Astyanax mexicanus: one gene and its partner. Each later gene encodes a partner of the first gene's protein in a complex. Links are inferred from orthologs where the notes say so. Each region holds a gene or a part of one and is shown on either strand. Other genes may lie near its edges.

Region 1 (15,831 bases):
TATAACGAAATATACATCTGCCATTCCATTAATTCTAATTCTTACAGTATCATTATTTGAAACACAGTGAAACTATTACTACAGTGAATGTGTTGATGATGCATCATGACAAACCTTTAATTATGTTTTACATACAACCAAATATGCATTTTCCCCTAATTGGGTGATTCTCACGAAATCAGACTAATGAGGTGGCATTAAGGAGTGTGATGAACAGGTAAATGCTATCAATTTGGGAAACACTGGTTTATAAACATCTCATCAAAGGCTATATTGGAAGTGATTAAAAGTAGACATTGTGATATTTTAAATTATGTATTTTTTATAATTTAGTGTGAAATTCTCAGTACCGCAACGCGTCCATTGCTGAATCTCGGCTCTTCAATTACACAATTTTAATATTTAAAATAAATAAATAATAAAAAACTTAAATGTATCTCATAAAGTAAATTGTTACAGTCAATAAAAATGTATTACTTGGAATTCATTGGTAAAAGAAAAGAAAATATTTAGAAAAATAACTTTGGTCAGAACCAATGTTCTCAGCCTCCGCAACAATTTTCAAGCACCATTTAAGACCACAAGGAACAGAAAAAAAACAGCCATTTTGAGAGGGGGGACACCTTTTAGTATGACACCCAAGATGGCTACCAGGTAAGCACCTAATTTTATACCTCTCCAGATAAATGTTAAAAACTTGGTTGTCAGCGAGCATACACAACTTTTTGTTTCTCATTACCGAAACAGCTAGTTTTTAATGTTTAAAAAAATGAAAATGTTATTGTGTTTTGGGAATTTTTAAGGTTTTTAAAGTCTAAATACAAAAAGCTAGCAAAAGTTTAGCCAGGCATCATGGTGGCCCCACAGAGATCAAAGAAGGTTAAGGTCCCTCATACTCCGCAACAGCCTTCTCATACACCGCAACAATTTAAGGCCTGTTGCGGTAGAGAGATTCACTGTTGCGGTAAAGAGAAATTAATGTTTTAAGTGACATGAACTTATATATATATATATATATATATATATATATATATATATATTGTTTCATAAAAAAGCCTTTATTTACTTATAATAAACAATATATAAAACAATACATGATGCAATTTCAGATAAAAAACAGATTTATGTAGCAGGGCAGTGACACCCATATAACTTCCGCATAAGATATAAAAATAATATATAAAAATAATAATAATAATAATAATATATATATATATATATATAATATATATAATTTTCATATATATAATATATACATTTCATGAAACAACTTTTATTGTTATAAACTGTTAATAAAGGTTGTTTCATGAAATTTATTTTTATAAACTTTTATTGTTATAAACTGTTTATATGTATATATATATATATATATATATATATATATATATATATATATATATATATATATATATATATACACATTTTATGAAACAACCTTTATTAACAGTTTATAACAATAAAAGTTGTTTCATGAAATGTATATATTATATATATGAAATTTATATATATACACACATATATACATTTCATTAAACAACTTTCTTTAATTTTATCTTTAATTTTAATTTAGTTGCACATTGATGTTTACATTTTTCATGAGATTAATGCTTAATACAAAGATGTTTAATGAGATGTTGAATTGCTTGTTTCATACTTAAATATTTAATTTCAATTTAGTTGTACATTGATGTTTATATCTGTCATGAAATTAATACTTAATAAAAAAGTTGTTTTATGAGATGTTGAATTACTTATTTTGTATTTAAACATTCCATTTCAATTTAGTTATACAGTGATGTTTAAAGTTTTAAGGAATTTATGTCTAATGAGGTATGTTGAAATTTGTTTTATTAAAATACACAGTTCAAAATAGGATATTTTCACAGCTTGAGTCTTACTGAGAATAATTTTCAACAGCAAATACCACATTTTGTTCAATATTACTACTCCATACAAAACTCAAGAAGTACATCATTAGAATTTGTTATTTATTCACAGCATTCACACTCTGTGTTTGTTGTGTAAAGTGTTATTGTTAATTAAGTAGGAATCCTTGTAATGACTCTCTTTACCGAAACATTGACTCTCTTTACCGAAACACCATTCTCTTTACCGCAACACATATTTATTTACTAATTATTTTACTGTTATAAAACAAATTCTAGTTTATAATGGTATTTGGATAAATTGTATTTCTTCATAGGTCATCTGTACTAAATAAGAAATTATACATGTAATTTTTCAGTTAAATATCCTGAAAAGACAGGACATGAATCATGAAATCTGTTGCGGTAATGAGACAAATCATAAAATAAAAAAAAATGGGAAACTTATAAATATAATATTTTCTGGGTTATATACACATATGAGCACAACTGTTAATAATATCTATTTAAAAAGTAACAAATGTGTAACTTTTAAACCATATCTGTTCTGTGTTATCATGTTGCGGTACTGAGAATGTGTGTGCTCTGACTGACTAAAATGGTGCAAAATATACAGAAAAAAATTATAAAATTAAAAAAAAAAAGTATTTCTAAAAAGTTCAGACCCTAGTCTTGCATAACAAAAAGAAATTTTATATTTAAATGCCTTTTGAAATTTTTCAAGTGTGAACCCTTTTAAATCTGTTTTTCGTGAGAATCACCCAATTGTGCCATTCTAGTACTCCAAATTCCTACGGTTATATAATTTGAAATTAAACGTTAATAGTACGAATATTTTTAAGAGTGTTTGTCAAGACATCAGTTGTGTCATTTGATAACTTGATTTTTTTCCCTTTATAATAAGATTATAAATTGTCGTATACTGTAACGTTACATAACCTGGCTCTACATTTCCAAAATGTTACACTGGTGTATATTTGTTGGCTAGAACTGGTTACAACAAGCTTGTTGAGCTGTAAAAGTCGTTTTCTTTTTATTTGCAGCTTCTTCCCCTTAATACCACCTTCTAAAATTTCTGTTTTATAAATGTAGGGTTTTTTTCATTACTCTAGTTAGCTAAGCTAGCCAACATAGCTAACTAACCTAACTAATGCACGAGTTAACGCAAATGCAGCTGTTCAGTATCAGAAACACACATGGCTAGCTTATCCCAACAGGTCTTTCTGGCTAAACTAAAGGTTAATTACCGAAGTTAACAGAAATATACGGTGTTCAGTGTCAAATAATGATAAATATTAGACTTAAAAACTAATTTAACTCAAAAACAGACAGCCTTGTTTGAGAGACTCGTGTTTGCCAACGTGGTATTAGTGCTTAAACACAGCCTGCTGTAAATATGATCTTCTTTACTGCATTAAACACAAGAGGGAACATTAAAATTTCTAATGATAAGCTTAAGAGAGAATTGTACTCACAGTATTAATCCTCTCCTCCTGTTTAATACGCTGCTCGTGTCCAAGCACAGCTCCTCACACACATGCCCAACACGCGGACGCAGCCATTACACCAGTGACGACAAAACAGGGTTGCCAGATATTGCTAACCCACTACATTTAAAGTAGAACTGAAATCCCCCTTTTCCAGATTTATGGTTTTCTATTGAACAGTGTTTCTTTTAAACATGGTAAAAAGACAAATTGTATCAGTAGAAATAAATTCGGATTATATCAATTACTTAAGCCCTCAGATAACCTCACTGTAAGATTACGATAACTTGAAGGAGATTTTGAATAAATTAATAAATAAAAGTCAACAACCTAAACTTTCCTGCCATAAATTGGCCTACTCTCATATTTCTTTCAGTTCTTAAAGCGCAATGCTGTGTAACAGTAAATCAAGGTTGCCAAATTTTATTTAAATAACTTTTTTCCCCCTAATTAAACACAATCCATTTCTACATAATAATGGCAGCGTATTTGTGTTTTTTCTGATTGTGGGAACATGACTGTTAATATATTAATGTAATGTAATGTACATAAATTAATTATGTATTGTAACATTTAGTTCCAGAAATCTAAGTAATGTACATTGAATTAGTACCATTTGAATGGTTAAACGAATGGAACATTCAATATAAAATGAGTTAGTTAGTTTTAACCCATTCTGTTGGTAAGGTCAGATGAATGAACACAGATACACACTGTGCTGTGATGCTCTGAAGATGTTCCGTATATGTCACTTAGGAACTTAATGAATTAAAGCGAAGGACAGAGGGCTGTAAAGAACTTTCCAATTATTTTAAATGGTCTGTGATACAACACCATGGGCTCTTTTGTACTAATGTGATACTATGTGAAATCAGTTTTTATATATATTTTACTATTCTTCCAGTAAACAGTTACCACACTCTTTTCCATTACATGTATGCTCAAAAATGATTTAATTCAATGACTGTAGAAAACTTGCACAGTCTGTTTCTCATTTTCTCCTCTAAACTGTGACCAAAGTTTCCAGTGTCTAATTTTAATATCTAGGAGTTTCTTGCACCAACATTGTCAAAAAAATCCATTCAAAATATTCTTCTTCTCTACTGTAGAAAGTCAGTGTTTCCCTGAAAAAAATAAGTGATTGACAGGCTTGACTGGAAGAGACTGCCTGCAGAGTTGAAGAGAACTGCATGATACTATAAATACAGGAATATCTGACATTTTCACTTAAGCCTGAATAAAAATAACCTTATAACCTCCTATGTTATGTGCCAAACATTGTACTGATGCTTTCAAAAACAGATCTCACCCATTCAACTCCAACAGAAGTGAGATGTAGTATCTGGCACAACAACCTTAGCAGCAAATTCTTTATGTCCTTGTCAAAGTCGTTCAATTTGTTCCTGCTTCCAAGACACCAACTTCAATAATTGACTGTTCACATGCTGCCTAAAATGTATATCCCACCCAGTGTTCTTTACTTAATCTCACAGTAGTTTTAAAGTGTTGTTGGTCAGTGTATATGCAAGTATCTCCCTTTCCAATTCTTCCTAGAGATAAATGAAGGAAACCAGATAATATGGATATTAGTTTTAATCCCAGAGAAGACAGAAGTGAACATGATCAGAGCTGAAAAATAACTGATTCTTATCAGGGCACGATGAGATGGCAGCACTGGCTGATTCAGTACTTTGTGGGGTCAATCACTCTGCCCATGAAGAGCAGACTGTTGGTTGCTTCATGGTATATAAAGAAGAAGAAAGGCCTGTTCACAGTGAAGGTAGTCGGCATAGAGTATGCAGTGATTCCCACGGTTGTTGCTGCTGCAGCTACAGTGCCTTTCTCGTCCACTTCAATCACAGCTTTGTGCAGAACCTGAACACACATGAAGAATTAATAATAAGTGAAGAACAGTTTATTATACTGTACACAGTTTCTGTACTTTTATATATTATATCCAACTGAACTATGTAGGCGACACGTTATCATCCTGGCCAACAGTGTTTTTTATTATCAACTATGAAATTAATGCCACTGCTGTAATGCTAAATCACTGCCTCTTCATTGGTCTGTTATTTCCTTTAGCAGCTGACCAAACCTGGCAGTTCTCTTTTAATAAGAGGTCATAGTTTCTTGAAAACATATTAATAAAATGCACCATAATGACTTGGCAAAAATATTTTTTACAATCGTCTGTAAAGTTGCAGTTTTGGAGATTTATTTTGTTTTGCATGACAGTGACATACAGACAGTAATCAGTATAATAAAGCAGCTATGTCACATATAAATATTCACACTGACCTGTGAGACTTTTATACCAGATTCCTGACTCATGCCTTTGAGGTTAGCCGAGTATGTGAAGACATTCTGAATTCCCATGGATGGAAGAATCTTGTGCAAAGAATATGACTGTTCCAATTTAAATTTGGGTATGTAGACTTCCAGTTTTCTAGGAATGCAAAAGAAAGCAATATTAAAATCCAACAACTTTGCTGTATTGCTTTAGCATATTTATGTCAGTTATTTAATTTACTTGTAAATATAATTTCATTGTAATAAAACAATGTAATAAATCCTGATGGAAACACTAGTGTTTGCAAAAAATAATTAAATGCTAAAATACATGGCGTTGTTGCAAGAAAGTTGCAAAAAGATAGACCTACAGAAGAAAGTTTGAACAAAGTTTCTACATTAATCGTTTTTTAAACTCATTGAATTGATCCTGGAAGAATAAAGATAAGAATTAGGAAAATAACCTAACAGATGATAACCTCAAGACCTGATTTTATTAGAAGCTATTTTCAGCTTGTCTAAGCTTGTCTTTTATAGTTAATTAATTTTGTCATTAACTTGATAATGCTTGGGATGATCAATCAGCTTTGTGATGTTAGTCATGGTTGTCAATCAGACTGTACATTAGCTAAACTCAAACAAAAACATACCCTATGCTGATCAAGAATTAAGACTGTTTGCCAGATTTTTAGCAGGGAATAACAAACATGAAAATGCATAATGTTGACATTTCAAACTTACGTTTTTTTCAGGTTCTTGATCCAGTTTAGAAACCTCTCAGCATTTATTTCATCATCTATGATGGTATAATCAACATTGCTGTCAGGAAGGACAATGAGCATAGCTGCGCCACCCAAATAGGGCAGACGCAACACCTTAGCCTTGAGCTCGTCATCACTGGCAATGTAGAACTTATCTGTACTAAACATCATTGGCACCTGGACAATATTATATTTGTCTATATAAAAGCGACTTTTTTCAGTGTTGTTTGGGTTGAAAGGTCTCTCCCAGGCACCTGGATATGAAAAAAAATCATAATAAGAAACCAATAACAGGTTCAGTTTTTTGCTTAAGACGAAACTCAAGATTTCAAAGGCAATTCAGTCTGCTGGTACATCATTACTCACCCTGAAAAAAAATGGTATTGATCAGCATCATCTGAGTCAGGGGTTCAATGCTGGACACTATCTCTTTCACTTTATCCCCAGTTTTCTTCCTCACATGTTTATTAATTGTCTCCTTACTGATGTCAGCTTTACCAAAGTCCACGTTTTCGACATCAGCATCAAAGAACTTTTTGATCTGATCACTGAAAGCCCTCTCTATTTGGAAATGCAGGTCCACGAAGAGTGCTGTTCCCTGGTCCAGTTTCAGCGCTCCGTCATGGGTGATGTTCCCCTGGAGGTGCTGGAAGAGCTGAGGAATGAGCTCAGGCTGCCCATTCTGCTCCAGCGTGTCCAGATTCAGCCCTGACAGGATTTGGCTGCGAGTGGAGTTCCTGGCTGCCAAAGATAGTGCGGCGAATGCTGTGGAAACACTCAGCGGCGAGAAGAAAATGTTGTTGTCGTGCTGGCTTGAAATCTTACGATAAAGGTTCATGGCAAAGTCTATATTCTTAAAGGTCAGATCAGTGATGTTAGGAGTTTCCTGAGTCTGGAGGCTAGACTTGAAAAAGGAAACACAAATAAAAAGGAACAGCAGCACTCTGTACTCCATCATCGTCATGATAATCTTCTTTCAAGGTTTGATCTGAAGAGATAAAATGTTTTAATAAACTAAAGATCAGCAGCTGTTTTCCCTAAAATGTATTTTAGGCTCTCTATAAACAACCAAAAATAAAAAATAAAAAAAATGTTGGCCTTATTAAACCTAAGCACCAAATGTATACAAAGATATGTACAGCGATCACTAGTTTTTAAACTGTAGAAACAATTGTCTTTATACAGGGAAAAAGACACAAAAATGGAAATTCAATTAATTAAAATACAGTTAAAGTGATATGCTAAAAAACTCAGAAACAAATAGAGGCAATGTATTATAGACGTTTATAAAAACACCATATATTGTTTGCCATATAACTTACCAATAAACACCAGGTAAAGATTGTGTTTCAGTCTGGTCTGTTCCCGATGTTTGGAGAAACAAAGTGCAAGTGAGCCCTGAGGATTATCTATTAACAATTGGATGTTTAAACATGGGGAGGTCCAGACAGCAAGTTTAATCCAAAACAAATCACAGGGAATGATTGAGTAATTGTCTTAATAACATTTAATATAAGGCACAGCTCTTTGTTTTTAAACTAAGAGAAAATGAGAAAGTCTTGGAAAATGTGCTCAAAAGTTATGTTCAACATTAGCAGGAAAATAGCCCAAAGCCAGGTTTCTCTATACTGTTTACACTGTTCTTTATAAAATAGACTTTCATCTAAACAGTTCATTATATTGTATCATACAGTTATTCCCACCCCTAATGGGTTGCCATGTATGTCCTTTTTGTAGAGTTCTTCAATTTTAGTTTGAACAGAGACAGAGACCTGTTGTGTGACAGTAACATACGGTAAGTGAAACCAGAGTGAAAAGACTTAAATCTAAAGACTGAAATCATTCAAAAGAACAAAATTATAAAATGTGGACACCATTCAACAGGGAAAAAACATCATTTAATTTCAGAAAGTAAAAAATCAGTAGCTACAAAGGTAATTGTTGGTATTGGTGCACGAGCATAATGATCACTTAATCTACTGCAGATGGCTGGGAGCAAGATTATGTACTAAAAGAAAAAGCTTTCGGCACTCACTATCTGCTTTAACAATGAATCAAGTCTCTGTAAGGAAGAAAAAGAATGAATTAAAAAAGGGGGTGAAAAGATGTATAATTTAATCTCTATAACAGCATCTTGTCTTGCTACCTATTAATAGGCATCATAACTTTTGAGACTGCTTGAAAAACCATCACCCGCACCACTGCTGCAGACATTAACCTCAACTATTTATTTGCAGCACTAATAAATTCAGTGAGATGTACCTGTATTTTCCGTAAAACTCCATTACTTTACTGCATTGGAAGTAGTGAGGAAGCAGTCTAATTTTAGCTGCTCTGTCAATGTTTATATGCCTTTACATTGACAGGCCAAAAGTCATGGGACAGCAGTATGGGGAGAGGAAAAAAAAATCATGAACAGTTACCTCAGGGGATGACTTCAGAATGCACACACCAGTATGAATTGTGAGGTGTTATATTGTAAATCAGGCTGAACACTGGCCAGCAGGAATTATCATATCAGAGTCAGATAGATAGGGCATTACATAATTAACATGACTGGCGGCATCTGGCAGGAATTGTCCATGTAAACAGAAAAGCAACTGTTGGCAGAAACATCCACATTCAGTGCAGAAGTCTCCACAGAAATAGCCCACAGATCCATGCAATGCAGTGCTTTCATGAGACATGGCAAGTTATTGAACACGATACTAGTTAATGTCCCATGACTTTTGGCACACCAGCGTACATACTAGCAACCAATGCATGTTATCCTTTAACAGATGCGTCATCTATGCGGGCATGGTGTGTACACACATGCACACACACACACACACACTCACAAAAAAAACACACACACATATACACACAGAAAGATTAAGGAACATTGTTGAAGTTCAAACAGCAGTAGCTGTTGGGTTATACTGAGAGCAAGGAATCCATGCAGTGTAAATACTGCTCACGGCTGTGGTCTCTCATTTAACAAGTGATCCTTGTGGTCTTAGGACAGTCAAATTAAACTTCAGCTGTGCAGAGCAGAATAAGACTCAACAATACATACATTTTTCATTCAGCTCATTTTTCCCCAAAATGAGATTCAAGCGGTCATACTGGACCCTTATCTGTGAAACCTTCACCAAGAAAAAGGTTGTATTGAGTTTCCTCAAGCAATCTCTTTAAAGCACCCCCTAGCGCATTACCCAGTCAGACTGACAAGGACACGGTCCCTCTTAAATTATGCCTGGCAAAAACAGATAAGACAGGGTATGGTGTGCCCAATAAACACAGACATCTAGTGGTCCTTAATAGCCTCTGCACCCTACAAATAAGGGTTTCAGGCTCCTTATCATTCTTTTCTGGGTGACATATTAATGAAAACATCCTCTCTCTAAGAAGGATTAACTCACCACAGCATAAGCATACTTGTTCCACTCCTATACCTCCTTTTCCACCATGAATCTGAAGAACTACAAACAGATCATTATTATGAAAATTATATTAGCATATTTAAAGGCGCTGTGGTAAAAAGGCCATAACAGACTTAAGCGAGAAAAACTGATCTGGGCTACCGAGCCCTCCCTTTTCCTCCAGACTTTACTTTACAAAGTAAAGTAGAAGTGCTCAGAACACTGCTTTAAACAGTAGATCATGGTACTACTTCCCATGAAAATGTCTGTTCTTTAAGTTCTGTCTATTTAAGAGCCTTGTGAGTGGATCTATAGGGTGGTGCATTAGTGATGAATGGCCATCTGGTCCTTCCTGACGTTCAAACCCGAGGCAGTCTAAAGAGGGAGGAAGCTGCTTGAGGTGGACGGGGCAGCTAGTAGTTGCTTGCTGTAGAGCTCTGGCTATAGATCCCCATAGTCACTGTGTCTTCACTGGCTGCGTTTATGCCCAGCGTCCGGTTCTCCCCCTGAGAATAAAAAAAAGCAAGGCATAAATGAATGAATATTAAAAAAAAAGTTATTTACACATTATTTGCTTTGTTTTACTCCAATTAAAAAATATCCCACTTGCATGTCTTGCTAAAAAACATTATACTTTTCAGTCAAGTATGTAAATAAACCTAGAGACCTTGTCAATGAAATCTAATTCATAATTTGGACCTACCAGTAAGTTTTGTGTCTGGTGAAGAGGCTGACTGAGCCTGTTGTTGGGACTGCCTGTATAGTATATTTTAAAAACAAAACAGAGCATATAGCAATGGTAAATAAGGCACAACTACAGGCAACAGTCATTTCATCTTAATAAGAGTGAGAATTAAGCTTCATGCCTGTCAAAATAGGCCTGTCTTCTCCTGCGAAGCTCCTCTGCTGTGAGGCTTTCACTTGGAGTGCTTTGTGACACGCCACCTGCAGTACTTTCTGTGGTGCTTGGAATTATGGTAGGTGTGGGTTCTTTAGTACCAATAATTGTGCTGCTCCCTGAAGCTCCTGGAATAAGGGGAAATAATCACTGTCAAGCAAACCAAAAATTTATTAAAATAGCTATATAAAGTGTATGAAATGAACACTCACTCTGACTGGGCATTTTTCCTGGGAATGTTCTTATATACACTGATAAGCACAAACATTATGGGTAGTACTTGAACTAGACAGCATTAATGGAGATTTTCCTTTGAATAACTATGCTTAATCGCTGTCTGGGAAACTGCCCATTGTAAGTTCTTACAATCAATGTGTTGAATAAGGGAGAAATGGGCAGGTGTGAAAAGCTGGGTCACTTTCACAAAGACCAAATTGTCTTTGGCAGCACCACCACCAAACAAAACTTAAAGAATCTACTAACATCAGATACCACAAGAGAGCTGGGGTGAGCCTTGTGAAAGACTAACAGCATATTAGACTGTTTTGCTCAACAGTGTAGACACAATTTGTGTAAAAATGGTAAAAATATCAATATTCGTGGTTCAACTTGGCAAAAATAAGTGGTGAAAGGTAAAATGGATTAGGTCAATAATATGCAGTTTTTATTTAGTTTGTAAAAGAAGAAACACCTGAGAATAAACAATAGAAACAGAAATATAGTATACCCTGCATACTGAGCTGTATGGCTCTGCGAAGGTCAGCCTCTTCATCCTCCACTTCAATATCCTGTCTGCTTAGAGCTAAAGCTTTCCTCAACTCCTCCTCATCTTCATCTATTACTCCTTCTTCCATACCGTGCCTAGTTTCCAAACCCTGCTGTACTGAGGGTCTGGAGAGCAAGAGAAAAAAAAAGACAATTTTGTTCATGTAGATGTAAAGCCAAAACCTACAGTGTGTGTCATATTACCAAGGATTGTGTTGATGTCTGTAAAACTTCTATTACATAATAATGAACCAGTAGAACCAAGTATTCCATAAAAATTTAATTTAATATGAACATGTTAATTGTTGATGCCAATTGATGCGCATTTTGGTTTAATAATATTAATAATCACTTTAACACAGTTAATGAAATTTAGGTTTGTTACATTTAAGAACACAATGGAGAGTGCTAATTAATCTATACCTTTGACCAGCACTTGTCTGGGCCTCATCCTCTCCAATGAGTTTTGGTCGGTGCTGCTGCTCCACTCTCATGATTCGCAAAATCTGGTCTGCCTCGCATTCAGGCAAGTTCCCTCGAATCACAAAGATGGAATACCCTAAAGACAAAACATGAACACACACATAGTAAAGGTTCTCTTTAAATACAGGGGAAACTCTTAACTTTAAATGTACTTGAACAGTTCCAAAGGTACTCAAAACGACTTTACCTTCTTGTTGTAGCTGTGCAAGGAAAAGTGCCAGGTATGTATCTGATATTAGTTCTGGTCCCGTTAAAAGCGAGTTCAAATTAAACCACTACAAAGAAGGACAAGCTATGTATAAGATTTTACTTCTCTTTAGTAGAATAATAATCAGACACTTTAAGGTATTGTTTAATGGTATTACCTGCTGGCCCAGCTTTCGTACTGTAAACCAGTGTTCCTTGTAGTTACATATAAAGGCTTTTTCATTTCTAAAATTAAAGACAAAATTTGAGTTAAACATTTAAAAATAACTACAACAGAAATACTAATTCGAGAACAGTTACACATAAAACATAAGGAAACTTACACCGGCTCTATCATTAGTCGCTGGTACTCCCGGCTGTTGAACAGGATCAGCTCCAAACCCCACACTCCTAAAGCATTACTTATCACCTGCAATGGCAACATAAATGCAGTTTAACTACAATTACAAAAGAAAAAAATGTTTTTTTATTTTTTTTATACAAGTATATTTTCTATAAACATCCTTAAAATATATGCTATTCCATGTCACGTCAGAACACAGATTTTGAACCCACTATAAGATCAGGAATTAAATGCATATTTGTGGATATTTGCTTGACAGTCTGGAGCATGCAGAACATTTCAGGTAAATAGCTTAACAAGCAACTGAACAAACTTTACTTGATGCTAAATGACTTTTGTACATTTGAATTAATCAATGTGTTTTTTTTAAGCTTATAAATAATAGTCTTATGTCAACACTTCCAATGCACTGGTGACATCTAGCAGTGTGGCATGGAATAGCACATTAATAAAACATTGGGAGTTGTTATTATTATTAATAACAAACCATTTTAAATAACAAAAAATTCTCACCTGAATGGAAAAGAACCCGCTGTCATCCATGTTTCCAGATGGTTGCTGGGATACAGAAAAACAACCAAAACATTGTTAAGCTGCTGAATAGCTTATTAACATTAACTGTGACCTCAACATCATACTTTTACTCACCTGTAAAAATGTCCTGTACTCCTCACTCAGCACACCCCCCTCAGCCATCCTCATCCGTTCCTCTTCATCCAGCTGCTGTGCAATCGACGACAAGTCCACTGGAGTGAAGTATTCACCCTGAAGTAGGTTGTTCAGGCAGTGCTGGGCACATAAAGAGCCCTCTTGCTGTAAGGCAATGAATTAGCATATTTTACATTCTGAAAATAGACAGAAACTACACATTTCTTCCACATAATAAAATATCAGACACATATTTTAAGGCAATGACTTTTAGATTAAACAATAGATGACAGTAGTGTAAACTCTTAGTAAAAAAAAACATTGAAAATACATTTTTATGGCTAAATTAAATGTTATGGCTAAAATTAATCTCCTAGCAAATCCTTAGAGCAATGTTTTATAATTTTGGCACAAAAAAAAATAATACAAATAAAAATCCATTGATTTCAGAAAAATATATGGCAGGTGCTAATAAACTGCTGGACACTAGTGATTTCACAATATTTCATAATATTTTTTGTGGGCGACATATTACCCCAAACATAATAGCAAAAAATTATATTGTATGCAACTGATAATATAGTAGCATATTAATGCACTAATCCCATTTTAAAGAGCAATGGACTTTTACTTTTTAAAAATGTTTAGACAGTCTCATAGTCCACATACAAACTCATTCACATTATTTTGCTTTTCTTGCTAAGAAAATTCTTTGGACATGGTCTGGAAAAATTATTGATGTAATTTCCATATAGTGTACGACAAGTCAATAACATAGTTATAGTGACAGGCCAACAGGACACATACTTTATTTTACAGACACCACCACCGCTAATAGACATGTGGACGACATTCCAAACAACCATTCTAGTAGCGCTGGAAAATATGGCCAAAAAGTATATTACGATACATTTCTTAATTTCTGTTATAAAATATAACGATATGAATTATATGAACAGCATAGTCACATGCTGATGAAGCTAGATGATATGGTAAATATATTATATCATAATATATGAAATTTTTGACATAATTTCCTGAATTTAAAATTAAAGTCCCAAATAAGTTAAAGCTAATTAATCTAGTTAGTCCAACAAAACAGAAAATAAGCAATCACAGTAACTTAGCTAGGTAAAGTAAGAACTAAATATTTACCAACTGTCAATAATTTAGACAGTAACTGCTGTTAATCATATACATTTAGTTAGTTAGTTAGTTAGTTAGCTATGCGCACTTAGGTTATAATTATTTTGGTTAGACAACTATCTGTAGCAGTGGGTAGCCCAGGTCCAGGAATTAAAAATCCACCGCAGGAATTTGTTCAAACCGCCAGTAAGGCACAGCTGCAGCACAGCCGCCCGGGCGGTTACACCCAAATCCCGGGCCGGATTTTTGCTTTCCGGAACTTCTTTTCCCAAACATTGAATTCTCAGCTACACCAACAGCGATACTATACCCATACAACCTCGAAAACATCAGAACACAATTAAAAATAAACCCAACAAGCACCCCCTAACTCACACGCTAGCTACTGCCCTGTAACCGGTCAAAACACCGCCTATCCGCTGACTGGTTATCAGTTAGCTAACGAGCTAGCTTAGCATGATAGCGAGCTAACAGCCTAGCAAAGAGCTAAGAGGAGCCAAAATAAACTCAGACACTTTCCCTAAACTCAGCTCTATCAGTCTTAATAACCACAGGACCGAGCGCGCCCAAACTGGCCGGTAACGAGCTTATAAAAACTGAGGAAAGAAAAGCAGAGCTCACTTTTTCGTGGAAGATAGACTCCATGTTTGAATTGTCTATGAAGCATCATAGCTACTGGCCAACTTTGACCCCGCGCGTGACATCAGCAGAGAGAGAGAGAGAGAGAGAGAGAGAGAGAGAGAGAGAGAGAGAGAGAGAGAGAGAGAGAGAGAGAGAGATGAATAAAAAATAAATAAAAATAAAATATAAAAAAATATTTTATATAATAAAAACACAAATATACCAAAAGACAATATATAATACATATAATATTCAAAACATATGGGGAAACAAAAGATAAACACAGAAAAACAAACAAATACAAAGTCAACTGCAAATCGCTTACTTCAACATCATCATTTATTGCACAAATACACACAAATTCTGGAAAATTTACCTAAAAGATTGTAATATGCATACTCCATCATAAATCGTGCAGTCACCATAACTAGAAACATCCACCATTTTTTGTTATTGTCATTGCTACTTTAGTTAATGCTTTAAAAATATTGGACTCGTAGTCTACAACTAAGGGAGAGAGATGTTAAAAAATGTAATATAAGGCTTTTGATGTTCTTGGTCCATATGGCCGTACCCACAAAAATTTTTTTCTAGGCTTCTTTTCATACTTTCTATTTCTAGTTCAAGAGCACCTTGCACATCTTACAGATCTGCCTTTGGATATTTTGAGGCCTAATTTAGCACAGCACTGCCTGGACTGTAGGTGTTCTCAGGGCAAAGAGTGCTGCAACTATGTGCTCAGCAGTTTACTTAATGCCTACAAATGTTTATATGATTTTTTAGGTGTTATTTTGTTTCTTTGATGTTGAATTTGATTATTCTGTCTCCAGAACACAACTAGTATACAACAAGGCTGGAATGCTTGATAGATACGTCCAGCAGATGGTGCT
Region 2 (16,833 bases), on another chromosome or scaffold:
CACTGAACATGGGCTTATTAAAAACGGTAAACGGTTGATTAATAAAACGGAGCAGTGAGTGTTAAAATGAACATTACATTGTAATGTTCTTCTGTCTCTTTATTTTCCTTATTCAGAACTTAACTTCTGCCCGCCCGTCAGGTTCACATAGTCAGGCTACCATTACCTCTGGTTCTAGTTTTAGTTTTTAGGAAGTGTTTAGATAATTATGTTATAGTTAAGGTTATAATAACGAAACTTGTTTTTTGTACAAATGTTTCATTTTAGAATAAAAACCTTTGCACCGATTGTTCAGTGTTCAATCCAGTTCAGTCAAAAATAAACATTTTATGTTCAGATATTTTTATTGTTTTTTTTCTTCCAAGTATCGTTTTGGTATCGAGAATCGTGATACTACAGTTGGTATCGGTATCGAAGTCAAAATTTTGGTATTGTGACAACCCTAATATATATATATGTATGAAGCTCATATTTTATTAACAGTAGTTTAGTTCAATTATTTATTTACAAAATTACCCAATTGAATCTTTCCTTATTTTCATACCATTGATTGAACAAAACTATTTACACATTCAAACTAACTAATCCAAGAGGTTCACATACTTTTTGCCACTTACAAATATGCAATACTGAATCATTGTCCTCAATTATACTTGTTTGACTGAGTTCTCTTTATCTACTTTTGTGAGGATCTGATGATGTTTTAGATAATATATGCAGACAATTCTACAGGGTTCACAAACTGCAAGCACCAGTGTAAATACAAAAAAACTGAAATAGCTTCACAAATTGTGTGATGCATCATTTAGACATGGACCTGAACCTAAACGGAATGCAAGAGGCCTACCTAGTATTGCTATTTAATTTTAGTAAACTGTCCAATAAGCTTGAAGAAAAAAGAAAAACACCTTTGGCATAAAGCTGAGAACAGACACTAAAAAGTATGAACAATTAACATCTAAATATGAGCTTACATACAGTGCCTTGCGAAAGTATTCACCCCCTTTACATTTTTCACATTTTGTTACCTCACAACCTGGAATTCAAAGGGAATATTTGAGGGTCTGCATCATTTAATTTACAGACCATGCATACAACTTTCAACATTTAACTTTTTTTTTATTGTGAAGCAAACAACAAATAGGACAAAATAACTGAAAACATCAGTGTGCATAACTATTCACCCCCGTAAGTCAGTACTTTGTAGAGCCACCTTTTGCAGCAATTACAGCTGCAAGTCGCTTTGGATAAGTCTCTATGAGCTTGCCACATCTTGCCACTGAAATTTTTGCCCATTCCTCATGGCAAAACTGCTCCAGCTCCTTCAAGTTAGATGGTTTCCGTTGGTGAACAGCAATCTTCAAGTCTGACCACAGATTCTCAATTGGATTAAGGTCTGGGCTTTGACTAGGCCATTCCAATATGTTTACACGTTTCCTCTTGAACCACTCAAGTGTTGCTTTAGCAGTATGCTTTGGATCATTGTCCTGTTGGAAGGTAAATCTCCGCCCTAGTCTCAAATCACTGACAGACGTAAACAGGTTTTGCTCAAGAATATCCCTGTATTTAGCACCATCCGTCTTCCCCTCCACTCTGACCAGTTTTCCACTCCCTGCTGCTGAAAAACATCCCCACAGCATGATGCTTCCACCACCATGTTTCACTGTGGGGATGGTGTTCTTGGGGTGATGAGATGTGTTGGGTTTGCGCCAGACATAGCGTTTTCCTTGGTGGCCAAAAAGTTCAATTTTGGTCTCATCTGACCACAGTACCTTCCTCCATACAGTTTGGGAGTCTCCCACAGGCCTTTTTGCAAACTCGAAACGAGCCTTCCTATTTTTGCCTGTAAGTAAAGTTTTTTTTCTGGCCACTCTTCCATTAAAGCCCAACTCTATGGAGTGTACGGCTTATTGTGGTCTTGAACAGATATTCCAGTCTCTGCTTGGGAACTCTGCAGCTCCTTCAGGGTTACCTTTGGTCTCTGTGCTGCCTCTCTGATTAATGCCCTCCTTGACCGGGCTGAGAGTTTTGGTGGGCGGCCCTCTCTTGGCAGGTTTGTTGTGGTACCATGTTCTTTCCATTTGATGATGATGGATTTGATGGTGCTCCGGGGGATCATCAGAGATTTGGATATTTTTTATAACCCAACCCTGACTTATACTTCTCTACAACTTTATCCCTGACTTGCTTGGAGAGCTCCTTGGTCTTCATGGTGTTGTTTGGTTAGCTTAATGGTGTTGCAGCCTCTGGGGCCTTTCAGAAAAGGTGTGTATATACTGACAGATCATGTGACACTTAGATTGCACACAGGTGGCCTTCATTTCATTAAGCATGTGACTTCTGAACAATGGGGGTGAATACATATGCACATGCCAATTTTCAGTTTTTTATTTTCATATTTTCTTTATATACATATATATATTTATTTTCTCATTTCACTTCTAAAACGTAGACTATTGTGTGCAGATGCATCACATTCAATTCAGATAAAAATAATACATACATTACAGGTTGTAATGTAGTAAAATAGGGAAATAATCCAAGGGGGTGAATACTTTTGCAAGGCACTGTAGTTCCTTATATTGGTAGAAACTATAAGAATAAACATGCATAATGAATAAAACAGATATAACAATTCCTCATTTTTATTAAGTAATCTGCCTAAAAGCACTAAAAATGCTACTTACCAATGTACACAGACCAGAATATATCCTAAAAAAAGAGAAAAAGTAAATTACATGTATGCTAACTGGTAGTGGTACATGATTCAAAAACAGTGTTTTCACAGGCACTGGCAAACAACTTAAAAAAAAAGCAGTTATAACAAAAAAAGAATCTGATAAGAATATTTGATAAGAATATTTAATATAAGTAAATCTTGAAAAATGCCAGTCAGCTGTCAGAACGTGCAGATCACATTTCTAAGGCAAAACAAGACATATAGTTACCCAAAGAATACTTGAATCTGCGTAGCCATGATATTAGCCTTACATTTTACCTACCATTAATTTGCACCCTGTGTTTTATGAAGTATTAAATTGAAGGTGAGGGACTCACAGTGCGATAAGTGTCCTGAAACACCTCTCTTGCTTCTTCATAATTACAGACCTCCTCCAGACATTCCCTCTCAAGACTGGCAGGGAGTGTATTCTCCTCCTGTCCTGCATTGGCTCTCTTCTGACGATATATAACTTCACTGGCCTCCTTCTGTTCAAGGAACACTGGAACTGAAACACAATATACAGTACAGCTTCCTAAACAAATTATTCCAAGAATCAGGAAATTGACAAAAAATATTTGTCACTTTAGTTCTTTACTTGAATTACAAACTACAACTAAAGACATATTACTGTAACTACTCTTATACAAGTTTAACAAGCGTAAACTGTGTTTTTTTTATATAAGCAACATTAGAAATTAATTATATGAACAATGCTGAATACTGATAGTTTGAATGTGAGGAGAAGTAATTTAAAGGAGAACTCTGGTGTAAAATGGACTTTTGGTGTAGTAAAGCATGGACTCTACATAGACTCCGTATAGTGCAGCAGCCAGCACCAAGAGTAATGGCGGCGCTCTGAGCTAAAGCTCGCGTTATAGGATGTAAATAGTGGTTTTTAATAAGCTTCTCATGCACTTTTTACGTTTTAAATACCTCGTTTTAAATGTCAGGGCTCTCCGGATTTTAGCAAGAAGGTGTGGAGCTAATATGAGCTGGATAACAATAGAAAAAGCGATTTATCGGGTCAAATTATGCCACGTGTCACCCAATCTGAAGGGTTTTTGTACAAACTGTTAAAATTTCTGGATCTCGGAAAGCTGTGGGAGAACGGAGATGTGTCATTCATCAAATGTAGGTACTTTTTATCATGTTTTACTACAACAAAAGTCCATTTCCAGTTCTTCTTTAAGAATAAACATGTAATAAACATATATATATATATATATATATATATATATATATATATATATATATATATATATTTGTGTTTTATAAATTAGGATATCAAACTACCAAATATCATACATTAATGTAAGACAGTAGATAGTAGTAGTAAACAGCTAGTTTGCTAAAAGAAAAAAGTAAACATAACTCACAAAATAATCAACTTTTGTTCAACTGAAAACATTAAAATATATATATATATACATAAATTGTGACCAAGCATTCTGATTTATGCAGATTTAAAAAAGAAAAAAAAAAGGCTTTACCTCTGTTGATGCCCAGTCTAGCAGTCACACAGCCCAGCAGAAAAGTGATTAAAACTGCTGTAACCAGGCAGCCCATTGTACTGAATCCCTTCGAGTTAGCTGGTAGTCTGTGTACTCCTGTTATTGAATTTTAAAATGGCATTAAAAACAAGCTATAACACAGTGATTACCTTTTTATATAAAAAATGTACACTACTTAGATATATTATGAAAAAAAAATAAATAAATCTAGAAGAACTAAATCATAGTAACTGAAAACAATGTAATTTTATAAAATAACAAAATTTTTACACTATGTAATACAGCATGGTTTTAAGCTTATGCATTAGCAGTCCAATTGTAAATCTATTATTGAAGTAAAGTTCAGAAGTTTGTAGTTTGAGACACTATTTGCTTTGGGCACCCCTGGTCAAACTTACTCTTAAAGTTAAAAATAAAATTACCCCAAAAGGCATAAATCTAAAGATGAAACACTTTTGAACATTTGAAGCAATATCAGTGTATTATTTTAATTTTGTACAATTTCATTGTTCAGCGACACCTGCAGAAATATGACCTATATGCAAGAGTCAGCAAAAGAAATACTCAGCTTCAGAAGTTTGCAAAAGACATCTAAACCCTAAAGCCCTAATAATTTTTTAACAAATCCTGGGGGCCGATCAGTTTAAAATAAAACTTTTTGGCTGCAATGAGCAAAGATATATTTGGAGAAAAAGGGCTCACAAAATGAATTCCCTTCTTGTTGAATAATTAGTAATATCTTCCTTTGAAAGTAATCAAATGAACAACTCAAAAGTCTTTATTTTCTTTAAACAGAGGCATTACATCAATACTAAACCACTAAATATACTTAAGATACTGAGTCAGCTTCTACAATATTAACTGTTTCAAGATACCTGAACACACAGCTGTAGATTCATCTACATCTTTCCAGAGCTACACCCATTAGAATAGAGGCTAATACAGGTAGCTTCAAATTCAAACATTTTGCAGCTTTTTTTATGTGCATGTGTGGGCCAAGATTTGCCCAAAGGAAACCATGACTGCTCTGCTGAATGGTTAACTAAAGTGATTGGCTTGAATCACAGGCATGAACTCAGATGCTATGCCAGTACTTGTTAAAGCCACAAGGGGGTGTTTGAACCATGTGAAATGCCTCTCATATAAAGCTATACCAGAGCTATAGCAGAACCACAACACTGTTGTTGCTTCCAAAGATCAACAGTTCCTCGAATGGCCTAAATGTTTGGACAACAATGAAGACTTGGGTTTAGGTAATTTGGGAATTGTTGTATTTTTTCCACAATGAGAACGTTTTTAATAAACTGTTTTACAGAGTATGTTTTTAATGTTAATTTGTAGTCCATATAATAATATCTGTAAAAAATTCATGAGGTAATATATGCTGTAAAACTTCATTGTTAAATACATTTTAATTGTGTGTATATTTTAATTGTGTATTATTTAGTATTGATGTAATGCCTCTGTTTAAAGAAAATACAGACATCTGAGTTGTTCATTTGATTACTTCCATGTAATTTTAATTCTACTTCCTGCAATTTGAATTTGAACTGAAATTCATGTTAATATTCAAGAATTGAATTGGAATTTATGGGTCATTCTCAATTCAATTCAGAATATTCCAATATCCGGTTATACTCATATATCAGCAGATTGCTTCAGCTGTAAAATATTACCATTAGTCAGCACATAGTCAATCTTACTGTAATGAATGCCAGACATGGGTGAGACACATGCAGATTAGAAACAGAGAATATGTAAAAAAAAAAAAAAAAAAAAAAAAAAAGGAACAGAACTACAGGGAAATCCAAGCACAGGGAGCTTTCGACAAGAAAACAAGGGACCAGGTAAACATTCCATATTTTTGTCATTCTGGTTGTGGTATTTAGAAATAATTGTGAGATTATGTTTAACACTATTAAAAAGATAAACATCAGTAGATTTAGCTAACCATTAAGTGAGAAATAGCTCATGCTTATTAACACGTTCTGTTTAGTCCTAAGAGGTAGAATGTGACTCTTAACTCCTTATTAAGTTTACAGTGTAAAGTAAAGCATTTAATTTACCAATACAGTGTTAGTAACAACAGATTGAGCATATAAGTAATTAACTGTGTGTGATGTTTTTTAAAGCTTCATCATATTAGAGATCTTCATTTTCTGACCATTTATTACTATAGAATGATGAAAACGGGACACAATTCTTTTTGGAAAAAAGCTAAATCCTTCCTCCAGTATTTACATCACATTTCAATGTAATAAAAAGCACGTCTAAGCTAAGGACATCTCTACATCAGAGACCAAGTTGGAAGGATGACAGGAGTTCAATATAGTCTTTTTCTTTCTTTTTCTTTTAAGAAAACATTACATAACAAAATAGGCAAAATAGTTTTAGCATTTTTTTTATGTCTGACACTGATACTGCAGCCTAATGATACTGAAGAAAGAGCTTACGCTTATTTACATGTTCAGTTTGTTTAGTCCATGTGTCCAATTCAAGGCTAATTTAGATTTTTTGAAAGTTTGATGCAACATTCGCTATTTGATTAAAAATGACTAAGTCATACGTGCCGGATAGCTGTTCTTTTTATCCTAGTTGAAATATGTCTTAATGTAAGCAATAAACATAAACAGATTTTTGTTAGGCTGAAAATTATTTTGTATTTATTAAAATGGCATGAATATTTATTGACAATTAAACTAAAAAACTTCATTCATCAATTATTATGTATGTTACGCACACCCAAACCCCCCAACAACTCACCCCCCACCCCACGCGCCTTTTCTCTGGCTGATCCAGTCACGTGATCACACTCATGCAAACAAAGCAGCAGACAAATGCATTTGTTGCCACTGTAATGTCAACGAAGCTCAGTGCAGATGTGATCATGATGTTCTGATAATTGTCTTACAATATCGCAGAAACACAGTATTGTAATAACTGGCAATGTATTGTAGTTGACAAGCCTACCTCAAATTATTAGCCAGGCGGTTTCAATAGGGTGGTCCATGTTACGTTTATACTTCTCCGTAGACTTGTTATATAATTAAATTATTAATTGAACTCCAATCACTGCCATGTTTACAGGTGTATTAACCCTAGCGGTTAGTCATTCAGACTGCTTCTACAAACATTAGTAAAAGAATGGGTCGCTCTCATGAACTCCATGAATTCCAGCGTGGTACCGTGATAGGATGCAGTACCTGTGCATCAAGTCGTGAAATTTCCTCACTACTAAATATTCCACAGTCAATTAACTGTCAGAGATATTATAACACCGTGTTATTATAATATTACTAAATTATAACAAAGTCTTACAATAAACGAAGTCAACAGGAAGTAAATAAGGATAATGTAAAACATAATGGTAGTGGACCAACAGTGGGTATGCTTTTTCGGGGTAATTTATACATTATAATACGATATTAAAGCACAGGATACTTGTATGCAGTATATTTTAAAGAGCGATATTCAACATTTCGCGGATATTCGCAGTGCCAGTTTCCGTTGTGTTGCGTCCACACTTAAGCTAGATTTTAGGTTTAGATATCGAACTACAAAACCACCGTTTGTGCTATTTAGGCAGGGGAGGCCCTTTAGTCGCATGTTCTTTGCAGCGCAACTACTAGGTCTACTCACCTTCTCAGAGAGATGCGTGATTTAACGCGGGTTATCTTGCAAAGTTCTCAACCTTTCTGCTCTGTATCTTGGGATGTGTGATCGCTTGTAAAATGATTTCCCGTGTATATTGATCCACTATTTCAGGACGTAACTGCAGTATACCCTCTCTGTCCTCACTCACTGTGTCAGTAGTTATTATTTTCTCCTCCATTAGAGGGAGCCCTTGAAATATCCAGAGCGCTGCACACCACTGTGGTGTCCAATCCGCTTAGCCTGCCTCCTTGCGTTCTCAGACGGCCGCCATATTGGAGGGGCCAATGCGCCTTCAGTGCATTTATTAGTACTTAAGGAGGTGTATAATACATAATACAATATTACAAGTCAACCATTTTCCCAATTTTTACACGGTTTGGTTTGTTACAATCAGCAAAGATGTAGTTATAATATAGATCGCTGTCACACATTACAAATACCTGCTACTGCATTATGCTATTTAAATTCAAGCTGACCTGATGTGTGTGTGTGTATATATATATACACACACACACATCAGGTCAGCTTGAATTTAAATAATGCAGTAGCAGGTATTTGTAATGTGTGACAGCGATAATATAACACTTAATATTAACCTGTATAAATAAATTTATTTATACAGGTTAATATGACATACCATACATCTGTTTTTGTAAAAGAGCACAATACAAAATATTTCAGCATGAACGCACATACTTGTAATGTGTAACAGCGTCCTGTATCATTACTACATCTGTGACGTTTGTAACAAACCAAGACGTGTGAAAATCGGGTAACAATTGGTAAAGTTGTGATTATTATAGGTGTATTATACGCCTTCCTTAGTACTAATAAATGCACTGGGGGCGCACTAGTCCCCTCCAATATGGCGGTCGGTCCTGAGGTAGGACCCTCAGGCAGCTTTCGCGACGCCTGTTAAAAAAAAAGTTATTTACTCCAAACACGATGCAGTGTTGCCAACTTAGCGACTTTGTCGCTATATTTAGCGACTTTTCAGACACTCTGGCGATTTTTTTTTTTTGTAAAAAAAAAGCGACTAGCGACAAATCTAGCGAGTTTTTGTGGTGTTATTGGAGACTTTTGGCGACTCTGAGATGAACACGCGCTCTTCAGTTACTGTCCTCCGCGCTGCAGCGGGCGCTGCCGTCAGCCCCGCCCCACACCACTCACACTGCAGTCTGAGTGTAAGAGCACACACACCGCTCCACCAACACAATGCAAATTAATCGCGCGAGCCCACAGCCGCCGCTGACTGAGCCCGCTCTGTATTTACAGAGCAGAAGTATTAATATTAATGTGTCTGCAGTGTGACACGAACAGAAATCCCTTAATTTAACTCACACAGTATCAGTCATTCACTCACCTCATTCACCACATAGCCTGTCACTCACCTCCTCCACAGTGTCTGCCTCTTTATAAAGCTAAATATCTATTGAACCATTGAACAATTTGTATATGATAGGTTTAAAAATAAAGAAAACTTAAGAAAACGTAAAAATTAAAAACAAAATAAAACAAAGCTTAATACAAAACTAAAAAAAAATAAATAAAATAAAACAAAGCTAAATATCTATTGAACCATTGAACAATTTGTCTATGATAGGTTAAAAAAATAAAGAAAACTTAAAAAATAAAATAAAACAAAAAACGTAGACTAACAGTTCCGGCTAACTGCTGCTCTTATAATAACATTTAAGAACATGGCAAAAAACGTATTTATGTAATTCACATAAAAATGAAGTTACTGTAAAAAAGTGACCTCCTATTTAAAAAGCAACAGAAGTTGTTCATTTGTAACATTTCTAACACATTTATGGTGTTTTTACTCACTTTTTTCTCTCCCACAACCCTAATCCTTTACAGCTTCAAAAACATGTATTATGCAAATTAGGCGATGACGTCATTTCGCGACTTCCAGCGACTTTTAGGAAAGCCAATAGCTACTTTCCTTACTGAGGAGTTGGCCACACTGTCACGATGTTTGGGAACCAATCCAAGTCAAGTCAAGTCAAGTCAAGTCAAGAGGCTTTTATTGTCATTACATCTGAGTACAGGTACACAGTGTGATGAAATTACGTTCCTCCGGAACCATGGTGCAACATAGAACAACAAGCAATAGACAACATAAAGTGCAGGAGTGACGACAGTGCAACATAAAATTATAAAATTATAACGTTAAATAACAATAAATACAAAGGACGAGACAATTTAAAGACAGGACAGTGCAGTACCGATACGGTATAATAAGTGTATAGTGGGGATAAGGTGCAGAGATGTGTGACATACTGTAACATATAGAACATATATAATCACAGCAGTTACTGAGGTAGAGTTTATAGTTTTTAAGAGTGCAGCAAATAAAGTCATGTCAGCCTCTGTGTGCTGACTGGGTGTGTGTGTGGGTGAAGTTCAGTTCTTGTGAGTGTAAAGGGGGGGGTGTACAGTTTAGTTTTGTGTGAGTGTGTTGGGTGAGTGGTGGGTGGGGTGGGGGTTCAGTTCTGTCTCTGTGCGTTGAGAAGTCTGACTGCCTGGTGGATGAAGCTGTTGCAGAGTCTAGTAGTGGAGGCTCGGATGCTCCTGTAGACTGCAGAGTCCGTGTGAGGGATGGGTGGGGTCGTCCACAATGCTGGTGGCTTTGTGGATGCAGTGTGTGGTGTAGATCTCGGCGATGGAGGGAAGAGAGACTCCGATGATTTTCTCAGCTGTCCGCACTATCCGCTGTAGGGTCTTGCGGTCTCCTCATTTTTTTATCCTGACGCAAATATTAATGTATTGCTTCATATAACCATTCACTGTAAAATGTGGTTGCCCCTTAATTAAGCGCTGCCGTTTCAAGAAAACCGCAGCAGTTTTCACACACACTCTACACACTTTTTGTCAGTTCTGTCTGCTTTACGGCAAAATCACGCAGCTCCCATAGGAATGCATAGGCAGGAGAGCACGTGGCTCAGACGATTAGGCGCGAAGGGAGAGAGAGGTCTGATAGCTGCCGCTAGCTCCAGCTGCCGTCATATTATTAACTCGTGTTTACTGATTCTCCTGCTAGGTGAGCATTGTCCGCTTACAGGGCATCCTAGTTCATAATTATGAAGAGCTTTATATGTTTTATTTGTTTCATAAAAATAGCACTAAATGTGTTTAAAAGTTCTGCCGAAGTAGACAAGCTTCAGTTTAAGCTTGAAACTCTAGTTTATCTGCTCTGTATTGGTGCATTATATGTTCTCTACATGCTTTAAGCATGCAACTCAAATGTTTTGAGTAGAATATTAAGTGTATTTTAATTACTTAAAATGCTCTTTATATGCTTTAAATATAAGCATTTAGTTCCAGAAGTTTTGGGTGACATATTAAGTTGTGTTTTATTAACTTTAATCGCTCTGCTTATGCTTTAAATAGAAGCATATAATTCAAGTGTTTTGAGTGAAATGTTAAATGTATTTTATTGACTTTATATCGCTCTTTATATGCTTTAAATATAAGCTTTTAGTTCAAGTGTTTTAAGCGAAATACTAGAGGTATTTCTAGTGTATGTTTGTTTAATAAGCTTATTGTAAAACAGTATTTGGGTATTTTCATTTTTATTAATGTGTACTTATTGATTTAGTGTTCTCTGTATAAGATTAAATTCTGCTCAGACTATTAGGCGAGGGAGAGAGAGGTCTGATAGCTGCAGCTAGCTCCAGCTGCCGTCATATTATTAACTTGTGTTTACTGATTCTCCTGCTAGACTGGTGGTGTGCTCAAGCTAGTTTCCAGACTGGCTTCAGGGTCGCGCAGAGTGAGAGAGAGTGAGGCGGAGAGTGAGACGGAGAGTGAGGGAGAGTGAGACGGCCGCATCTGCTCTAAACCTTTCTTGGATCACTTAAGTATACGGAATTGAGTTTTAATTTTTTTTTATTTTTTTGGGTACCCAAATAGTTTTTTTTTTTCCCTTCAATTTTTTTCTCCCGGAGTACGAATTGTTCAAGGACTGTTCCAATTCCCTTTTTTTGTCTACTTCACAAACACTTAAAGGGACTGTTCTCTGGAAAACAAATATACTTTTAAAGGTTAAAGAGCTCTTCCATATTGTTCAGTGAATATACTTATTTTTGGGTTTAATCACATTCATACAAGGTGAATTCAGTGTGTGACTGTGTACATTTTATATAAATATATGTATATATTTTTATTTTTATACTCATATTATTTTCATAAGTGTCTCTGTATATAAAATAATTGATATCTTTTATTCATTGCTAAGAGAAAGAAACGCTCCAGTCCACTAAACTCTTATTAAGTTGGACACAGGTAGTACACTGCTACCGACCCAAAATAAATGCCCTTCACTACCAGTTATATCAGTTTCTTTTGTGGCTTATTTATTTGGCTTGGAACATTTTAAAGTTTGGTTACATATTGCTTCATATAACCCTTCACTGTAAAATGTGTTTCTTCTTAAATGCTAAATAAACGCCCTGACTTTTCAGGCGATGGAAGTCTTGGCTCAACTTTGAATAACGCTGCAAAGGAGGGGTAGTTTGAGAGACGCAGTGCAGTGATGTATAGATTTTCAGGTGGGGCAGTACGGTGGTCGAGAAAGCCCAACGCAGTGCAAATTGAAAAGCGCTGAAAAAGCACACATGAAAGATGCTGTACCAGCTGTGTACAAAGGACAAGTGGCAAACAAGCTTCTGAAAAGTAAGTTATGTTTATTACCTGTGATTACCACGGTTGTGTGCATATTATTAAAAGTTCTGCTTCACAAAACACCTTGTTTGCCACTTATTGTCCTTTGTACACATAGTGAAGTCCGAGACGTTACTGAAGACGCAGCTTAGCTGGTACAGCATCTTTTAAGGTCCCCCAGGAAAATTCCATTGTGTTGTGACTCACTTCCGTTGTGTTGTGGTTGTATTTGCAGCGCGTTTTTCTATTTGCAGCGCGTTTTTCTATTTGCAGCGCGTTTTTCTATTTGCAGCGCCTGTGTTGTAATTTTGATGGATGTGTTTTGTGCTTTTGCAGCGCTTTTCAATTTGCACTGCGTTGGGCTTTCTCGGCCACCGTAGGGCAGGGAGAGAAAGCCTAGTGATGTGCATTATTGCTGTATACTAGTGTTGGGAAAAACCGCACTACCCTTTACAGCGCCATTTCCAGTGCGTTCCCCCTGAATTCTTTTAAATGGTTGAGATGAGTAGAGAAGTCAAGAGGAGTCAGGATACCAAGTTTTCAGCAAATTTAACAGTTTATTTCAGAAGATCTTCCGGGAACAATACTCCGCTCAGAGAGTCAAGGAGAATGTTCTAAAACCAAATGACATACACAAGATTATATAGATCATCCCACTATGGTGTGGGTGAAGAAGGTTGAACAGCCCGCCCCTTTGGTCCCATAAACTGTATCCTATCGTGCCATGACCCCATGCCTGCCTGCCACCTACGTCTTCAGTATAATAAATCTATTGTCCTCCCGCCTGGTTCTGGCAACATAATTTCAGTAGAAGTTAGCTCCTTATATTTGGTCTGAGGGGACGGGTCAACCTCCCTCACTCTCAAGGTCTAACTAACCACAGATGGCTACACATGTGTTGTGAAACATTCTTGTGCAAAACTTAATTAAACTACATTTGTTATATGATTCTAAAGAGTACTGTGTCTGTTAACATATGATCACCAACATGAATAAAGATTACAAAGTGCTAAATAATTCCATTTTGAATACAGGTAACATATAGATTGATTAACATATTGATTAAACCTTATTAAAATCACTAATGGATTATACTGATTGGGTTTTCATTAAGTATTTTGTATGATTATAGGGCAACATACAATTTTGTATGATTAAAGGGTTATATGTTTTAACCCTTAATTGATAGTTTCCATGATTATAAGACAATGTTTTAACCTTTAAATTCTCAACACTAGTAAATCTAAAAAAAAAAAAAATAGAATATCATTAAAAGGTTACTTTATTTCAGTAATAAAGTTCAAAATGTGAAACTCTCATATAGATGTATTACAAACAAATTGATCTATTTTAATAGTTTATTTCTTTTACTGTTGATTATTATTAAAAAAAAAATCAGTGTCTCAGAAAATTAGAATATTAGTGTGGGCAGTGTGTCAATTCCTACTGGAACATGAAATTTGCATCTCTATGAAAATTGTCAGCAGAGGGAGGTATTAAGTGCTGTAAGATTTTCCAGGAAAACACTGCACTGACTTGGAACTTGATATAACACAGTGGACCAACACCAGCAGATGACATGTCTCTCCAAATAATGACAGATTGTGAAACTTCACATTAGACCTCAAGCAGCTTGAACTGTGTCCCTTTCCACTCTTCCTCCAGATTCTGCTCCCTTGATTTCCAAATAAAATGTCAAATTCACCGATGGTCAGTGATGGTTTGGAGAGCCATGTCATCTGCTGGTGTTGGTTCACTGTGTTTTATCAAGTCCAAAGTTAGTTCAGTGTTTTTCCAGACAATCTTACAGCACTTCATGCTTCCGTCTGCTGACAACTTGGATTTCATTTATGGATTTAATTTTCCAGCAGGACTGGCACACTGCCAAAAGTACCAATTGGTCTAATATAATATTCAAATTTTCTGACATACTGATTTTTGGGTTTTCATTGGTTGTAAGTGATAATCATCAACAGTAAAATAAATAAATGCTTAAAATAGATCACTCTGTGTTTAATACATCAATGAAATAAAGTACATTTTTAATGATTTTCTATATTTTTGAGATGCACCAGTATATGTTAGCAACCTGAGAATATGGAGAGTGGTACAGAATCCACAGGCACTTTTGGTACTGAGTGATCTTCTAACAAGGAAGATTTTTCACCACCACCAGCCCCATCTTCACCATCTTTTGTTCAGGGTTTCTTCAGTCTTACTTGTGTGATCCATGAACCTCTTTGCTTAAATTCCCTTGGAGCTAACATTAGCACAGAGGTATCATAGGAAAGTTTAGAAGGTCCGTGTACATTTTGACTGTTTGATTCTTCAACTGAATAGAGAACGGAGGAAATTAAAAAGCAACTTGTTTTTTTTTTTTGTTGTTGTTTAGTTTAAACACATGACAGGTTTGCGTGCAAAGTCCTTCTCCAATCAGGAACTAGATACCAATCCCACCACAACTGACAAAAAAAAACCTCTAGACAAAATTTATGGTGGAGGTAACTGAAAAACCAGCTCAAGGCCAGCTGGTCATCCAGAAAACATACCCTATATTGGTCAATAGCTAGTTAACGAGATTCATATAGAGTATGCTTTTTCTGGATAAACAGGTGGCCTTGAGTTGGATTTTTTTAGCATGGAAGTATATTAATACCACTGAGGGAATCTACAGATCTTGGAAGCAAAAATTCAGTATGACAGGTCGGCCAACACAATTAGATTTTATTTGATGAAAGATTAGCGCCATCCCCTCGTAATTCTTGTAAATCCCGGATAATAAGACGTATCTTGTTTATGATCATTTGGGTTCAAGCGCGTTGTGCGTAATTTGTAATTACATGTGTGATTACTTGTCATGTCAGAGCATGCACTCCTTTGTTTAAATTTTTTACTTGTTTGGTCAAAAAACTTTTTGAAAAGGTCAATCTAAATTTTGAAAAGGTCAATCTAAACACAACTTTGTGAACATCCAGAGGTGAGTTTCCCGTACAACGTCGGAGCCTAGTATTCAACTAACGTGTTACGTTGCATCGTTAAACTAACTAACATCTGAAGTACGAACGTTTCCCAAAACCATCATACTTTGTTGGTACCACAGAAGTCTGAACTATGTTGGTTTGGACCACCGTGGTCTTAACTAAGGTATTTCCAGACGTGATTGGTCAGTCTTTCCCACACTCTAAAAACACTGGGTAGAAATTGACCCAAATAAGGTTGTTTTCACAACCCAGTGCTTGGTCAGTATTGCACAAACACAGCATTGGGTAGAATTGACCCAGCATATTGGGTTATTCATATGACAATGCATTTTGGGTTAAGCATTCAATCCAAACGCTATGTAATTTTAACTACTTTGCTGGGTTAACTGAACCAAAATTTGGGTTGATTTTTAAGTATGACTAAATGTAAAATTTAGACCTTTAATGAAAGTTTTTTTACACTATAAACATTGGGAAAAAAATAAAATACATAAGTATAAACAATAAAATGCTTTATTGTATAATTACATTATGATCATTTCTCAAAGTCATTTCTTAACAACAATAGGCATCAACAACAACCATTTCTTTTCCCCAATAATGACCACAAAGGATTGCGAGCAGTGCTGATCATCACCTAGAAAAAAAATAATCCTTTATTAGTCCTACAGTGCTGAAACAGCAGAAAACAAAAAAATCTCAACACATAAAACCTGCATTGAACATTAAAATACTATACAGTGGTATGTTGGCATGTACCTAGAGCAAAAAAACAAATGGGTATGGTCTTGTGACTTGTGCCTCAGACAGGAACTCCCCATAATAGTCCCAACATGTTGTAAAGAGGGGGAATTTAAAACAGAATTAGTTCTTTTATTGCTTTGAATTAGTACTAACATGCTTAAATAACACATGCTGAGCGTAAGCTGCTATCAATCCAATGTTTGTATTACAATACAATTTACATCAGAAGAGAACACTTTCATCTAAAACCTTATAGACAAGTCAGTTCACTTTGTGACCATCTTTGCAACACGACCGGACGCTTATGTAATACAAGACTTATGTAGTGCAATACTTTCACATAGGGCCATGTTGGTTCTTTTAATAAAATAAATCATTTTTTAATAGTTTTAAAATTTCTCAGATTATATTATTAAATGTGTGTATTAGTCTAAAAAATGCAAGTGACAAAAAGGCAAAATGAAAATAAATATGTAAGGTGGCCAATACTTTTTCACAACAATGTATATTAACTTACCGATTGCAGATCAATAATTTTTTTTTTTTTGTCTCT

The links.
Region 2: the proteins of serpina10b (region 1) and proza are in contact, whole or in part, in a crystal structure (PDB 3H5C), measured with the Homo sapiens proteins. The link is inferred for Astyanax mexicanus from reciprocal best matches to the Homo sapiens genes SERPINA10 and PROZ. Residues at the interface, in NP_001094077.1 of Homo sapiens: Arg88, Lys89, Ser91, Met92, His94, Asp95, His257, Asp259, Lys260, Tyr261, Asn282, Phe283, Lys305, Met306, Asp308, His309, Leu310, Ala311, Leu312, Asp314, Tyr315, Leu316; in NP_003882.1 of Homo sapiens: Cys129, Pro131, Cys141, Leu142, Pro143, Ser151, His250, Met251, Arg252, Asp254, Ala257, Glu259, Asn260, Glu284, Lys285, Asp286, Phe287, His290, Leu291, Thr336, Thr337, Arg338, Arg390, Ser392, Leu393, Trp394, Gln397.

Annotation. Positions count from the first base shown.
Region 1 is NC_064421.1:14,476,664-14,492,494, forward strand, and holds serpina10b (protein Z-dependent protease inhibitor), read right to left. Parts: upstream 7,853-15,831; 5' UTR 7,749-7,852; intron 7,415-7,748; 5' UTR 7,391-7,414; coding exon 6,793-7,390; intron 6,681-6,792; coding exon 6,407-6,680; intron 5,823-6,406; coding exon 5,675-5,822; intron 5,249-5,674; coding exon 5,057-5,248; 3' UTR 4,949-5,056; downstream 1-4,948. Other genes in the region: atxn3 (ataxin-3), read right to left, coding at 10,299-10,336, 10,534-10,586, 10,697-10,856, 11,456-11,619, 11,917-12,052, 12,164-12,251, 12,342-12,408, 12,507-12,592 and 3 more. UniProt on the Homo sapiens protein: Inhibits activity of the coagulation protease factor Xa in the presence of PROZ, calcium and phospholipids. Also inhibits factor XIa in the absence of cofactors.
Region 2 is NC_064426.1:12,401,913-12,418,745, reverse strand, and holds the start of proza (protein Z, vitamin K-dependent plasma glycoprotein a), read right to left. Parts: upstream 8,079-16,833; 5' UTR 7,873-8,078; intron 4,330-7,872; 5' UTR 4,289-4,329; coding exon 4,213-4,288; intron 3,228-4,212; coding exon 3,058-3,227; intron 2,713-3,057; coding exon 2,688-2,712; intron 1-2,687. UniProt on the Homo sapiens protein: Appears to assist hemostasis by binding thrombin and promoting its association with phospholipid vesicles. Inhibits activity of the coagulation protease factor Xa in the presence of SERPINA10, calcium and phospholipids.